Struthio camelus: one gene and its partner. Each later gene encodes a partner of the first gene's protein in a complex. Links are inferred from orthologs where the notes say so. Each region holds a gene or a part of one and is shown on either strand. Other genes may lie near its edges.

Region 1 (7,869 bases):
AGATGAAGCTACCTTAAAGCAGCTAGTACTCTCGCAGTACAGCGCCATTCACTCCTGCCCTTTATGCCATCCCCCCAGCAGTAACATCGCAGCTTTCAACAGGGTGAACCAGCTCAATTAACATATGCAGGTTAAAAAATACTTTGCAAAATAAGTAAATAGAAGGTAAGGATAGCAGCAACTACAAACACCATCTTTGCTACCCATCCATCTGAATTTTAGTGTTCATATGGAAACTATCACTAAACTATTTCTATTACTAAAAAGGCTGAAATGCTAACATGTACTTTTCTCTACTCCAAACCTTTTCAAATGTCCACCAAAGTCTTTTACTCAAGAAAAACTAATTCATTACCATGTGATAAGAAAGACGACACACCTTTGCTATAATTTTACTTCATCCTGTCAATATCATGTATTAGCTTTTTATCACGCACTGTATTATGACACTAATTTTCTATTCTAAGAGGAGTACTATCCATATTCTCCAGCCTACAAAGTTAAGCTTCACAGCTTCAGAATAGACAGACAGCAGATTGCACATCCCTTCCTTAAAGGGAGCACAGCTCACAAGCAGCAGTTTTCAAAGGATGAAAAAACCTGCATTTTTGAATCAGAACTATCTTGAATTCATGTCTTTCATATTTAGTGAGAAAAAGAAACAATTCTGGAAGTTCATATAGACATTTCATATAAAGAATATCTAGGGTGCAGTGGGGGGAGGAAGACATGTTATCCCTACCACTAATTTGTAACTTCAGCCTTTTGTCCAACTTTTGAATAGGGTCAAAAAAAAGCAAAATCTCAAAGCTCTGAAAAGCAACTATTTCCTCAGCAAGATCAATTCATCTATGAAGATTCATGACTTCCGTGAAACTCTACATTACCAAGATAATTAACCAACCCTGCAAATAAAATTTGAAGTAACTGCAACTCAGATACTTTTTCAATTAAGTATAGAAAGTGTAAAATTAGCCACAAGAGGGAGTTTATATGGTTCTTAGAGCATTAAGAAAGAAAACATTAACAAATATATGTAAAATAAAAAGACATAAGGAAAGCAGATAGACTTCTCTACGTAAGAATACGAAGCAGCAGAAATAAAAATATGATGCTGCTGAATGATATTTTAAATTATTAAAAATCAGTTTGGGAGTTACTTTTTTCCTCTCTGAACTATTTCTGAAGAGGAAGTAACCCTCACCTTATCAATGAAGTTCTCATACCTTAAAAACACTAGCATGCAAAAAAACAAACCACAGCACTCTAACCCCAAGATTTAATACTTGATATATCTGGAAGAAATTCCTTAACATGTCTGTAATCTTATGGCAAAGTTTCTTGAACAGATGCACATAAAAAATGGCAATTTATTTAAATTCAATTTTGCAAAATCACTTACTCTGTCAAGTAGAAACCCTCTATTACAACAATCAAATACTGTCTAGTTTTAAATAACAAGCCCAAATCCCACAGATAATCAGAAACAAAAGCCATTTTTATTCTTCAAAGAAGTCAACCTGAATACAACACAAACTACTCAAAACTTTGCCAGGACTACTGGAGTCGAGGTGTATTTCGCCAGCATTTCTTTCACTAAAATATCTACCTAAACAATTCTCTTGCTTTCTGGCACACCTGCCACACAGAGAAATGACGTAGGCTAAATATAACCACATCAAAAAAAAAAAAAAAAGGGGGAATATAGTAGTTAATTTTAACCTGGATCATTTCCCCAACCGAGTGAAGGGCACAGTTCCACCCACAGTTGTATTGGTAGAGCTGAGGGGGGCAGCACAGAGTGTGAAAACACGGCGCAAGGAACAGACGGGCCTGTTGGTCAACACTGCCACCAAAAGCACTGCTTGTCTAACTATGCCCTAAACAATTTACTTTCAGGGTTTAGAGGATCAGGACCCACGATCAACCTCTCTGTCTCTACATGCCACTTCATATCGCAGCTAGAACTACGTCTGACTGCACGTGTGCCTCGTAAGAGGTCAGCTTTTAACATTAACATGAAAAAGCCGTTACAAAAACCTCAGAACGAATGTTTCATTAGTTTAAAAAACACTCCTCCACACGGTGGGGGGGGGGGGGGGGGGGTTGGAAAGAACTTATATCCCAAACCAGAAGTGCTAAGAATGTGAAAACGAAACCGAGTAACAAACAAGCCCGGCTTGAGAGAAGCACAAACGAGAGAGAAGCAGCACAGAGCTGCCGTGCCCGGCTGGCCCCGCTTCGCACACCCACAGCTTCGCAGCGCGCACCTTAAGTCAGAACAGCACCAGCGACCGCTTCTCCAAACCCCTCCCGTTTAGGAGGAGCGCAGCGCGGCCCGCGAAGGGCAGGAAGGAGCGACAACGCTTCTCCCCGCAGCGCCGGCCGGTGCCGCCGGCGCCCCCCGCCACCTGCCGCCGCGGGGCTCCGCCGCCTCCGCGGGCCGCCGCGCCCGGGGCCCGCCCCACGCCGGCGGCCGGGCCGCCTCCGCCGGCTCAGGGCGCTGCGAGCCGCCGCGGAAGAGCTGGAGCGGCGCGGAGCGGCATGCCGGGCAGTCCCGCGCCCGCCCTGCGTACGCGCAGCCCGGCAGGCGGGGGCAGGAGCGGCCCGGGCGGGCGCCGGGCCAGGCGGGCAGGGCTCCAAACGTGCCCGGGAGTTGTGACAGGAGCAAAGTGGGTCACCGGGCCTAGCGGGTGCCCCGCGAGCGCCCCCGGACCCGGCCCCCGCCCGCCGCCCGCCTGCGCCCTGCCCAAGGGCGGCCGCTGCCCCGGCCGCCCGCCGCCGCTGCCCTGGCGGCGGGGGGACCCGCCGGCGCTGTCAAACTTTAATGGCTCCCCTTCACGGCGTCCCCCCCCTCCCGCGAGGGGAACCGAAGCCAGAGCCGGGCCCCGTGGTGGCGGCGGCGCCGCCGCCCGCCCGCCCGCCGCGCTGCGCTGCGCTCTCCTTACCCGGCCCCGCTCAGCCGCTGCCCGCCCGCCCGCTCGGCCCGACCTCTGCCGCGAAGCCGCTTCCTGCGCGCAGCCCCGAGCCCGCCGCCAGCACAGAGCCTCCTCCAGCGGCAGCACCAGCAGCCGGGCCCGGGAGTCCCTCGCCACCGCGCCTGCGCCGCCGAGCCCACCGGCAGCAGCCGCGGCGCCTCGCGCCACCGCGCGTGCGCCGAGGCGCACTGCAAGCCGCAGCACCCCGGCCCCCTCGGTCGGGGCGGCCGCTCCTGCGCATGCGCAGCGCTGCGCCTACGCGCGGCGGCGGCAGCGGAGGTGATTCCCGCCCGCCGCCGGCTCTTCTACGCGTGCGCGCGCACCCGCCCGCCGGGGCCCCGAGGGAGCCGGCGCGCAAGCGCGGTAGGCCGCCGCGCTTCCCTGACCTCGGCGAGCCTCACCTCGCCTCACCCCGCCGGGGCGCGGGCAACCCGCGCGCAGGCAGGAAATGGCGGCGGTCGGGAGCCCGGCCCGGCGGGGCCGGGTCCCCCCGGCTCGCGGTTACCGGCCGCCGAGGAGGGTGGGGTGCCCGCGTAGTCCCGCGCTCCGGGGCTCGCTCGTAAGCAGGCGCGGAGCGAAGCCCCTGAAAGGGTTTCCGCCGCTTGCAGCGGTTTTGTGACTGAAACGATAAACTTAGGAGTAGCTGCTGTTCCGGGCCGTTGCTTGAAGGTGTGACGCAGCGCGGGGTGCAGGTGGGGAGGGGCAGCAGGGCCGCCGCCGGCCCCTGCCGGCGTGCAGGCTGCCGTCCGTCCTGGTGCGGTGCGTCACGTCGGTGTGGTGAGACTGGTGCGGCTCACAGGCCTGGCTGCGCCTGTGGAGCAAGTCTGTGTGCAGGCCTGCGGTACTTCCAACCCCAGTTTTATAAAGTAGTCCTACTTAACGATAAAAAGTAGAAATGACCCTAGCCGAGTTTTTAAAAAATCTCAGTTTACCTAACACCTATTAAAATCACGTAAGCCTCAAAAGTGGAAATATATAACCTTTTCAAGTAGAAGTATTTGCTGCTCCGGTCTGACAGCTGCCTGGACCACCAAACTGGTGGAAGACTCCAAGCGAGTGAGTTTCCCACTTTCTGACTGAAAAGCAACAATTTATATATTGCTCCTCTTTTGCCAGTTCTTACAGACTTGTGTGTTCTGCAGTGTAAAAGCATAATTGTGAACTCAGTGACCTGAAGTGTCCTGTATGCGGTTGAAGCATTTTTGTTGGTCAGACTGTACACTAGGATGAAGGGTAGCTCGGTTCTGAAAATGTATTATTTCAGCACAGGAGGATACCACTAATATCATTTTGCAGGACTGGCTCCGACAATAAAACTTACCATTGCTTTGTGTGTCTGCATGTAGGTATTTTGAAAGCTTATAAGAACTGTAAGATGTGCCTATGCTTTGCAGACTAAGTTGTACTGGGTTGTTTTTTCACAAGCAGTATCACTTATCAGAGTTAATCAGCCAGATGACTAGCAGATACTGCACAGTCTTTATGTATAACTGATCCCAGCCATACTGCCTATTGCAGGACTGGAAGATGTTTCAATGTGCAGCGATTCTGCTAGCATAAACCTGTTCTACATGCAGCAGAACATAGCAAGGAACCATTTTCTGTAAAACAAAACATTACTCAGTAGTAACAGCATCCAAATATTTCTAGTTTTCTTCAGTTACAAGGATGTTTATTTTTCAGTTGGTTTCCTAAACAGTAATGTATCTAAAAATGTAATTACAGATGTGTATGCAGAAATTTAATGAGCCTTCTTCCCCTGTGCCCCTCCAAAGAAAGTGTTTGTGCTGGAATGAAGTAAGGAACTTGATCTGGCTGCAAAAATCTCATGGATTTACCTTTCTGGATTATTTTTCAGGTAGACCACTTTCCCTGTCTGATTCACCATGTGACCATATGACATTGGCAAAGGTAGTGGGGGGGGGGAGGGGAGAGGAGGAACCTCTTAAGTAGTAACGCTGCCAAAGAGCTAAGCAGGACCTCAGTTTTTCCACTGGAAGAATTTTTTAAAGGATTAGTGAAAACACTTGATTTTTCTTTTTTACTGATTCATAATATTCTCTTTCTGGCTTTCAATGCAGGAAAACGTGACATAAACAAAATCAAGCATTTCATTACTTATGTGAAGGATAACACTCCTATGATGAAGTGCAGAAAAAGATAATAGTACGCAGCAGGAATGGAAAATACAGGAGAAACTGCATGAACAATTTCAGCAAAAATGCATAATTACCAAAACTAGAACATGGTCAAGAAAGCAGGAGACTAAAAGTAGCATCAAACTATTTATGGTATGTAAATGTTATGTTACATAACATATATTGCAACAAGATCTTCAGTAACCAGTAGTGATTTTTTAGGAAGACAAAGTAGAGATACTCCAGTGTATCTCTTCACACCCTGCATGTACAGAACACTGCCTACCAGTAGGAATTTTGCAGTAACAAATTACTCTTCGAAGCTCTCACATCTTAAATCAGAGGGTCTGACATGATCAAAACACAGGCAGCATAGCTGCATAGATCACACGTTTGCATTTTCTGCCAAGGCTATGGTCTAACCAAAATAATGGTGTGGGGTGGGGCGTTTGTTTGTTTGTTTGTGTGGGTTTTTTTTTTTTTTGAAAGTATTCAAAGGGCTTCTCCAGGATCAGTACAGAAAGCTCAGAAATGGAGTTGTGGTTTTGCCAAAATATTTTCGACCTGGAAATACTATTTTTCCAACTTCTTTTGTCAATGTGAGTTTGCTCTAGTGTATAATGATAAGTTTTCTTTCACCCACAAAGGTTTCATGAGCGCCAACCTACTTTTCAGACATTGCCAAATTATGAGCAGCTTTTGTGAATCACTGAACAGTGGGACTAGATTTGGCGAAAAATGCTGAAATTGCCAGTGTGCTTTCCTAACCACAGCCACGTTCCCTACAAAGATATCATCAACATCTTGCACGTAATATACTTAATTCCTGTAAAACAATCATCCACTCAGAAAGTTCCTTTTTGTTCCTCACTGGCCTTTTTTATAAGGGCTACCAGAGGGAAGGTTTGGCCTTTCCTGTCACATCTAACCACGCATTCCTGTCCCATCCAATGTGAAAACGCTAGCACGTGTGCTCATGTAACTCACTGCAGCCACAGTAGGAGGGAGGTAGAAGTGAGCTGCTGAGTAAGCTCCCTTTTGTAGGAGACAACGCTAATGCTAAACTGAAGGGACGCAGGAACCATTATCTAAAATCTTTGATGACCATGCGAACTTCATTATTGCCACAGTGGAGCATATGCTGCCTAAGTAATTGGAACAGCATACTTCTGTGACCACAGTGAATGTGATCAGGAAACTGATCCAACTTAAAAACACAACTCAATTAAAAAAGTGTTTTTTTCCCAGCTGGAGTGGCTTCCGAAATGTTTTACAGCATAGCCTTGTGAAAAGCATTTCTTCTGAATGCTTCACCTTGTGAAACTATACTTTAATCCCCAAAGTCTGTCTGCAACAATTTGCAAAGCATATGGTCATCACATACCCACAGCAATCCCAGTTACATTTAAAACTCCTATATAGGTTAGCTTTCTAGTTCCAAGTGGCGGATACACTGTCAACACTGAAATACATCTAGTAGTTACCTCCTTGAATCAGTAAAATAAATGTTTCTGGTAGTGAAATCTCTTAGTGGATATTTACTAATAGTCTAACTACGTTTTACTGGCTGACAAAAATTTTGGCTACTGCTAATTTTTTTGCTCTTAGGTATATATGTGCAAAGTATTAAGTAAGTAAGTGATCTGTTTCTCTTTTTTTCTGCATCCTGATGCCATAAACTATGTCAACGGCATATAATTCAATCTTTGTTAGCACATTGAGATAGTTGGGTTTTTTCTGTTGAGTCACTGGAAAAATAACATTAATAGTGTACAATCTGATTTGCTCCTCATAATAAATAAAAATGCTGAATATAGAGCTTGGTCTCTTCATTCATTCACGTACTTTCATCTTGCTTATCCACAGTTGTACTGTAATCTATTTTGCTAACTAGATACTTATTTTTGTTAGGAAAGAACAATTGACCCAACTGTTCGTATCAGAAAATAGTGGGAAGTTTATCCTTGACATGGGAGAAGATTACTGCATAACTGTCAAACTGGAAAAAAATTAGTTCATGGATTTAGGGACAAGTCCTGCTTTTATATCACTATACACAGCATTCTCCTCGGGCCAGCTTTTCAGTAGGAGGAACTGAGAAAGTAGTTAACAGCAGAGTTCCGCTACAGTCAATCTTTTCACTAAGGGAATGAATTAAAGAACTCAAACTTGCATGCATGCTGGAGAAAAGGAGGGGAAAAGTCCTGGATTAGAGCCCACCAGCTAATATCCTCCCTTTCCAATTCTATTTAAGCAGGGTTTCTATGAAATCGAGAATCCAGGTTCTCAGTGTCAATAGAAGCCTCTCTGTGTATCCAAAGCTAAATTTGGGGGTCATTTACTATATTAATTTTCTTCCAAAAGTCAAAACCAAACACCTACAAGTGAAACAAGAACTACTTGTATTGTTTCAGGAGTAAGAAGCTATGTTAGTTTGAACTAATTGAAGTCAAAACAGATTATCTGCATTAAAAATTTCTGCTTAAGTAATGCTTGGTTTCATCACATCACTGCTTTTTGCATTGGTGTCTTTGTGAGCAGAAATATTTTGCATTGAAAATGTCATCATATCTATAATGTCCTTTTTGGGGTTTTCTTCTAAGTCAGATTTTATTGCTCCGACTTCTGCTAGCTTCCATTCGAGCTCTGTAACAACAAATGACAATTTAGGCTGATAATTGCAATAAACGATTACAAAATACATTTATTCATAAAATACACATTATTTTAAAATTTTAGACAGTTGCTAACTA
Region 2 (7,208 bases), on another chromosome or scaffold:
TTAGCAAGGGGCTGCCAATAAGACCACAGTCTATTCCCCGCAAAATTCTCAATGCGTGTTTAATAATCCATTACAGAATGGCTACGATAGGTAACAATCTTTAGTATCAACTGATACACTACTTCATAAAACTTTCTGCAGTGATGTTTTCCATCTCCTCAGGCTGATTTTTTAAGTGTCCAGAAAATTCCTATGATCCAATCTTTCAGTCCCCTGTACCAAGTACAGGGAAAGAATATAAAATGCGGCATGGATGCTGGCAAGGGCCAGTTCAAAGATGCAGAAAAACTACGGCATAGGAAAGAAGAAGTCAATTGAAGCAGAACTACAGTACAGATCTTCTATAACCCATTTTTACTATTCCTGTGAAAACTAATAAATCAAAGGGATGTGGTAGAAGGGCCAGAATTCACCTACTCAGCTTCCTTCTTCAGGGGCTAAACAAGTCAGAGTAGAGAGCACAGGTCAGCCAGTCTTTCTGAGTTTACCTGAAGTAGCATCGTTTCCTACTTAAAATTACTGAGTAATTCCTGGTAGATTCACCCAGAAAGCACACTCTGCACAAATAACTTCTAACTCTGTTGAGGATTCTACTAGACAACTAAAAATTCCTTACTGTATGCATAAAAGTTTGGAAATAGGAAGATGATTTCTTGTATTGAACTGTCAAAAACGTAATGCCCAGTTCTATTTGATTGCTCTGAAGTTCAGGACCATGGGTGACCAAGATAAAATAGCAGTTATCAGGCGTACACTTGTTATCTGTAATTAAATCAATCCTCCTTTAAGTGAAGTGGGACAGCTGTGCATTTTAAGTTTTTCTTTTTAAACACTGCCAATTAATTAATTGAAGATCTTTCAGAAGCAGAAGCATCTCAAGTGATTTTAAAAAATGAAATGTAGAGAGAAAATTAATGCATTAGAGCCATTTCTCTATCCAAAAAGGCAAAACAAACTGAAAGCTGAAAGCTATTCATAAACAACATTTTGTTGAAGAATTAAGGTTGCTCAGGCCATACCTGTCTTATAAACTCAGCTATCTTGGGTAGGGAATTGCATCCCCAAACAGGTCAGCTCTGCTGCGCAAATCCCATACCATAAATACAGCTGAACCTGCAAAGCTCTGCTTTTGCTAGCTTATTTCACTCTCAAGAGTGAGGGTACATCTGGAGATCAGAGAACGTGCTGGGGCTAGGGAAATCCTTATTGCTAAATGTGCAACACATACTATACCTGCAAAGCACTCCTAGTGGAGACATGGCCTTAGAAATGCCTCTTCTTCCCATACCCTTTCAGAATGAGAACGCTGGAAGGCTGAAACTAAAAGCTATGAAAACCAGAAAAATGTATAGTTACTTTATGGCTGCCCATAGCATGTACTCTTCACAACCTTCAGCTGCTTCCTAAGGGTAGGTAGACTCTAACAAGACAGAATAAAGTTTCTGCTTTTCTTAAAGAAGGTAGCTCAGACTCTGGCTACCAGATAGATGACAGGACGAACCACAGAAATTAGGTCTAATACTATTTGTAGAAATTACTTTCTTATAAAAAAATCATTTAAAAATGTGGTTGATGTTAGAACTATAAATTCAAATACAAATACAGGAACTCAGGAGTTCACATAATATCCAGACCAGCAGTCCACTAATGGTAGTATCCAGTGCTAGATACTTCAAATGATATTGCAGCAGACACATTCTGGAACAATCTACCCCAAAAGGTGAGTTTCTTCTTAAAAGAAGAATTGCTAGAATTCTGGTCAAGTTCTTGAGCCTTGACACCTCCAGTAATGAACTCTGCACTTTAGGTAAGAGTGCTAAGATGCTAGCATAACCATCTGTAAAACTACAAGACAGAATAATGCTCAACAAAAAAGGACTTATTCAATGTTTTGCCTCATTTTTGCTTTTTATCTTCAATCACATCTGCTGATATGCTAACAGAGACAGAGTCAACTACATTAGACCAACATGTGGACTGGTCTGGAGCTATCCTGCTCCACATACCATAAACAGAATTATTTGATAAAGCAGCATGCATTTTAACTAGATTAAAAATTACAAATATAAACTCGGCTTCACCATCTCTTATCACTAAGAGACCAGTTTTAACTGAATACTCATGGTACAGATAGGTTTAAATGGAAGATGAGGCTTAAGTCCCTCCCTTAGTTACTTATCCCTCTCCAAAATAAATAAATTTTAAAGAAAGGGGTATGTGCTGCTGATGAGCTAGAGCTAAAGAGCAGAACTAGAAACAGGACGAGGGCTAGAAATAAGTAAAATGAGAACACACCATACGTCAGCCTCGCGCTTTAGGCAGGACGGGCACGTCTTCTCCCCCATACGAACAAACCACACGAACGAGGCGGGTAAGGGCCGAGGCGGGTAAGGGCCGAGGCGGGTAAGGGCCGAGGCGGGTAAGGGCCGAGGCGGGTAAGGGCCGAGGCGGGTAAGGGCCGAGGCGGGTAAGGGCCGAGGCGGGTAAGGGCCGAGGCGGGTAAGGGCCGCGCCCCGGCGAGGCGGCGGGCGTGCTGTGGCCTGCGCGCCCCGGCGGGGCCGCCGCGCCCCCGGGGCAGCTGCCCGACCCCCCCCCCCCCCGCCGCCGCCGCCGCCGCCTCCTCCTCCTCGAGGCCGCGCCCGGGCTCTCTCGCTGAGGGCTGACCCCCGGGCTCCGCGCAGCCGTCCGGCCGGGGCGGCGCGATGAGCGACCCCCGTCGTCGGGTCGCAGCCGCCGCCCCGCAGCACCGCCACACGGCGAGGCCGGGCGTCTCCACAAGCCCCCCCAACCCCCGCCGCTCCCGCACAGCCACAGCCGCGCTCACCGGGCCAGGCCGGGCCGCCCCTCACCTGCGTGCTGGCCGCCACAACGCCAGTGCCGCCAGGCTGCGCATGCGCGCGGTCGTCACCATGGCTACAACCCTCCCTCCTCACCATCCCGGAAGAGGAAGGCTGCCCGACCAGGCTCCTCTGGTGCGCATGCGCACAGCGAGCTGCCTGCGCTCGTCGCCGGAGCCGGCGTGACGGCGGTGCGCATGCGCGGCCACGCGGCCGTTGGTAGGCGGGGGAGGTGTGGCGGCGCGTGCGCAAGCGGGGCGGGGCGGTTCCTCGCAGGGAGCGGCTGGCGTGAGGGAGGAGCGGGCCGTTGTAGGGCCTGTGAAGGAGCGGGGCGGCGGGGAGCGCTCTCTCGCCGCAGCTGCCTGCCGGGACGTGGCAGAAAAGAGCACCCTGCCCGCAGGGCGGCTTGGGTAGCTCCCACTGGCCTTCCGCCACGGCAGCCAGAACCTTTTATTGCCTGGCCTGGCCTGGCCTGGCCTGGGCTCCTGAAGGGATGAGGCAGGGTGACGAAGGCCAGGGATGCTGCTGGCCTTTCCAAGTATCGCGCAGAAGAATACAGTTCCGCTCCCTCACAGGGGTTTAGGTTTCTCTAGAGCCTGTCGGATGCCAAGAATGAGAGATGGCAGCAAAAATCGTTAGACTGACAGCCACTTGCGAAATGAGGAAGGCAGCACCAAAGAGCTCCAAAAGCTTTAGGCTTGCTTTCTCAAAGAGAGAAAGAATAGCAAAAGGAGGAGCTATCATAAGCAAATGAAGAGTAAAAGATCCCCTTATTCTTCCACATGGCTGGTAAATATGAGCTTGTGAAAGAAATGCATGGATTTACTTTTCATGAACTGCAGAAAAGCAAGGCCCAGTAAGCAGGAGGAAGTAGATCTTCCAGATTAGCGTATACAACAGGAATACCTCTTCTTGTCCTAAGAGCTCCATAAACACCACCAGCACCCAGAAGTCTATCAGAATATTTTGCTTTGGGTCGTGAAAAGCCACTTCATTACAGGAAACAGGACTGAGAAGGGTTGAGCAAAGCACACAGTGAGTTCTCTGAACAGAAATGGATGAAAAGAAATGTTTTCATTGTTATGGTGGTATTGTTAAAGAACCTGAAACATGCTTGTTAACAAAGGTCAACATGGTCAAATAGATTCCAGACTGGATAAGAAAAGGACGTTTCAATGTCAACACAGCCTAGAACAGACCTATCACATGCAAAACAAACAAAAATGTGTGGTATTATAAGAAGTGATGCTGTCATTTTGAAAGCCCAACACTGAATGCGTTCCAGTCCTCCTAATGTAAAGTGCTGTGAGAGAACGCCAGTAACACATATTCCTAGAATGTAATTTTTTGAGTATTTAAATACTAGAGTTGGCTCAGAGTTGCAGTTAAACAGTGCTTCGAGGTGTGAGATAACTAGACTGTGGATCTCTTACCATTTATGAGGTTTGGGTTCTGAGGGAAAAGCATGCTAAGAACGCTGTTGCATCATGATATGTGCTCAGGCATGGTCCTGGTTGCCTTATCCCCAGAAACAACCCTTACAGATCTCCACCGAGACCAAATTTCTAAGGATATGGAGTGCATGTGCGTGTTCACTGAAAACAGCTCATCAGAGACTGATTTAGGAGAGACAATCTGCCATTCAGTTGAGGTGATTCAGAGCAGAATTGAGATTGGATGATACCAGGCCTTCATCCAAGAGACGACAGGTAGGAAAACTGAAATACTATATTATAATTGGAGACTTTTTCTTGGATAGTCTAGGTTAACCTCTGCTTTAAATAAATTGCACCTTATCATGTGAATTCTCTCAGAATTCAGCTAAATTAAACCTTAAATTTAAGAACCTCAACAGCTGAATTTTCCCTGCTCTAAAATGTGGGTTTTCTGTGTTTTAATAATACTAGTGTCATTTCCCTCTTTCCCCTTTCCTTACAAGTGTTCTTTTCATTGATAAAAGGTTTCATTTACCGTGTGCTTTCTGTGATTACTGTCAGTGACAACAGGATGTTTTCCTTTTTTCATATATTGCACTGTGGTTTGTTTGTTTATCCTGAAGGCGAGTGTTTTGGCAAATGAGTACTAGTTTTTCATTCACTTCCCTATTTATTTTGGTCATACAAAAGGAGAAGAATTAAAAGATGAAGTATGGCTGTGTGTTTACTGAGTTTAGGCATTTCAGCATTTTCTATTCAAAACCAAATGTATTGAATCACTTCTTTCAGGAAAAGATGCAGCAATCAGCTTTCTGAGAATGACTTTAAGAGGGACAAAAGCAAGTAGTTATCTTTTGAGGCTGTTAAATAATAGGTCTTGTGTGGTTACTGAACAATTAATAAAGGTGATGATGCATGGATGCCATAAACTCTTACGGGACAAAGAATCTTTTGTCCTAACACAACAGTAGAAAGAAATACTTGGCAAACTACAGAAGTAAAGCGTAGCCAGGTCAGAATAAGAACATGATTTCATAATACATTGGCTGAACTGGAAAGTTTAGGTGTTTGTCAATCTTTTTTCTTTGTATCCTGACCTATTTATTTTGCTATCACTGTCAAAATATACTTCAGTAGGTACTATATTACATTAAATTAATCTGCAAATACAAAATTAATCTGCATACATGCAAAAGTATGGTTTTATACCAGTTATTTTATTGAAGCAAAATCTAACTTTTATGATATTTTGATCCTTTTAGTATTCATTTCTATAATTTTAATACATTAATAGAAGAATATTGTTCAAATGATGCCTCTGAGTTTTTGTTGATCTTAACCAAAGAATGAATAGATGTGGATAAAGTATTTGCTTCACATTTCAGCAGAGGTGCACCAAATCTCAAACACATTTATTGTTATATTTGGGTTAGCTTTGTGGTTGTAGATTAAAACAACATTAAACCTCTAAATCTGTTTTAAAAGACATTTCATATATAGGTTGTGTTAATAGTTAATATCTTATTTATAAATATCAAAGCCTGAAAGGGATACTGTGTGATCATCTGCTTGACCTGAACTGTATCCCAGGTCATAGAGTTTCACGCAAGAGTTCGTTTAGCAAGATTTTTTTCTCTGGAGAAGATCTTTTAACACTGGCTTGTTCTTCTTCTGCATTTCACCTTTATCTAGTGATGTTTTGTTTTCAGAATATACGTCTTTCAGATTCATTTATCTGCAAGTGTATCTTTACCATAAATGTCTACAAATTTAGGGAGTGCAGAATAAAGGTCATTTAACCACAAAGAATGATTAACAGAGATGGCATCTGGAGAATAAAACAAGAAGCCAGTATCTCTAATGCTCTTTACTCTTTTCTGTACTGTATTATGTTGAAGGAGAACAAAGGTGGCTGCAATACCACCTTTGCAACTCCTAGACTGTAGAGCCAACTGAGGTTTTGGGGAAACTATGGAAAAGAGCAGCCCCAGAAACTGCTTTTAATCTGTGCAGCAACAGACTATTTCAGTAGTCCAGAGTATTTTGGAGGGCTGCATGGCCTTTCACACGCCCTCACTTCTCATGCACAGTCCTCCCCTTATCTATCTGTATCTCCAATATAGCCTCTGATAAGTGGAAAACTATGAGGTGCAGAAGTATGGTTTTACTTAGTGCTATGCAGTGAGGGAGATTGCCTCATGATACTGTTGTTTTCTAATGGGCAAATCTACAGAATTTATACTGTTGTAATAAAAGAGCTATTGTTCGCCCCAGAGTAGGGTAGATGCTATATTTTCCCATAGACCAAAAATTATCTGGGTTTGTATTTTAAATATTGGTGATAGGGGTTGTCTGTGTCGCAGATGTGGAGTCTGTTAAGGCCATCTTAACTGACTCTTCAGTATGGACTGTAACTTGTCTTCAGTTTTGCGATTGCATCTTAATTTTGTGAACCTGAGAGTGGTGATCTGTATCCTTAAATTATATATGGCTCTATGCATTCCTGTATTGTTATCTTGCATAGCCACTAGGTGTCGTGTGTCTCTTTGTATTAAAATATTATAGGGAAGGTCAAACTTGGTCCAATCAAGGACTGTCTATGGACATTTTTTCAGGATTAAATGGCTTTATCTAATTTATTTAAAATGGCAATCAATAGTCCCAAATATTACTTTAAAACAACATTATTTATATAGCGAGGGCAACAAATACAGGGTAAGGGTACTACAAGCAACAGCCTAATTCTGTACACAGTTTTGATTTATTACCAATAACATTTACATAGTCTATTGCATGACACATTGTTTGGTGGAAAGAAACAAGATGTCAGTAGGTAAGTAAAGATAGGTTCATGACATAAATGTGTGAGGTAACAGAATTAAGGCTGCACTGGCAATCTCAAATCTGTAATTTTCTAATTGTTGAGAACAGAAAA

What was found.
Region 2: the proteins of CLOCK (region 1) and CIPC are in contact, whole or in part, in a crystal structure (PDB 5VJI), measured with the Mus musculus proteins. The link is inferred for Struthio camelus from reciprocal best matches to the Homo sapiens genes CLOCK and CIPC. Residues at the interface, in NP_001276755.1 of Mus musculus: Gln519, Leu526, Lys527, Leu530, Arg533, Ile537, Asn540, Ile541, Arg543, Gln544, Glu547, Leu548, Ile551, Gln554, Leu555, Val558; in XP_006515773.1 of Mus musculus: Asn401, Thr402, Val405, Leu406, Ser409, Leu411, Ile414, Thr415, Thr418, Leu421, Ile422, Asn425, Thr428, Gln429, Leu432, Leu435, Lys436, Thr439, Gln440, Phe442, Ile443, Thr446.

Annotation. Positions count from the first base shown.
Region 1 is NC_090945.1:56,501,886-56,509,754, reverse strand, and holds the start of CLOCK (circadian locomoter output cycles protein kaput), read right to left. Parts: upstream 3,103-7,869; 5' UTR 2,949-3,102; intron 1-2,948. Other genes in the region: PDCL2 (phosducin-like protein 2), read right to left, coding at 7,599-7,762. UniProt on the Homo sapiens protein: Transcriptional activator which forms a core component of the circadian clock.
Region 2 is NC_090946.1:58,937,683-58,944,890, reverse strand, and holds the start of CIPC (CLOCK-interacting pacemaker), read right to left. Parts: upstream 3,059-7,208; 5' UTR 2,850-3,058; exon of another isoform or gene 2,825-2,849; intron 2,551-2,824; exon of another isoform or gene 2,296-2,550; intron 1,328-2,295; exon of another isoform or gene 1,234-1,327; intron 1-1,233.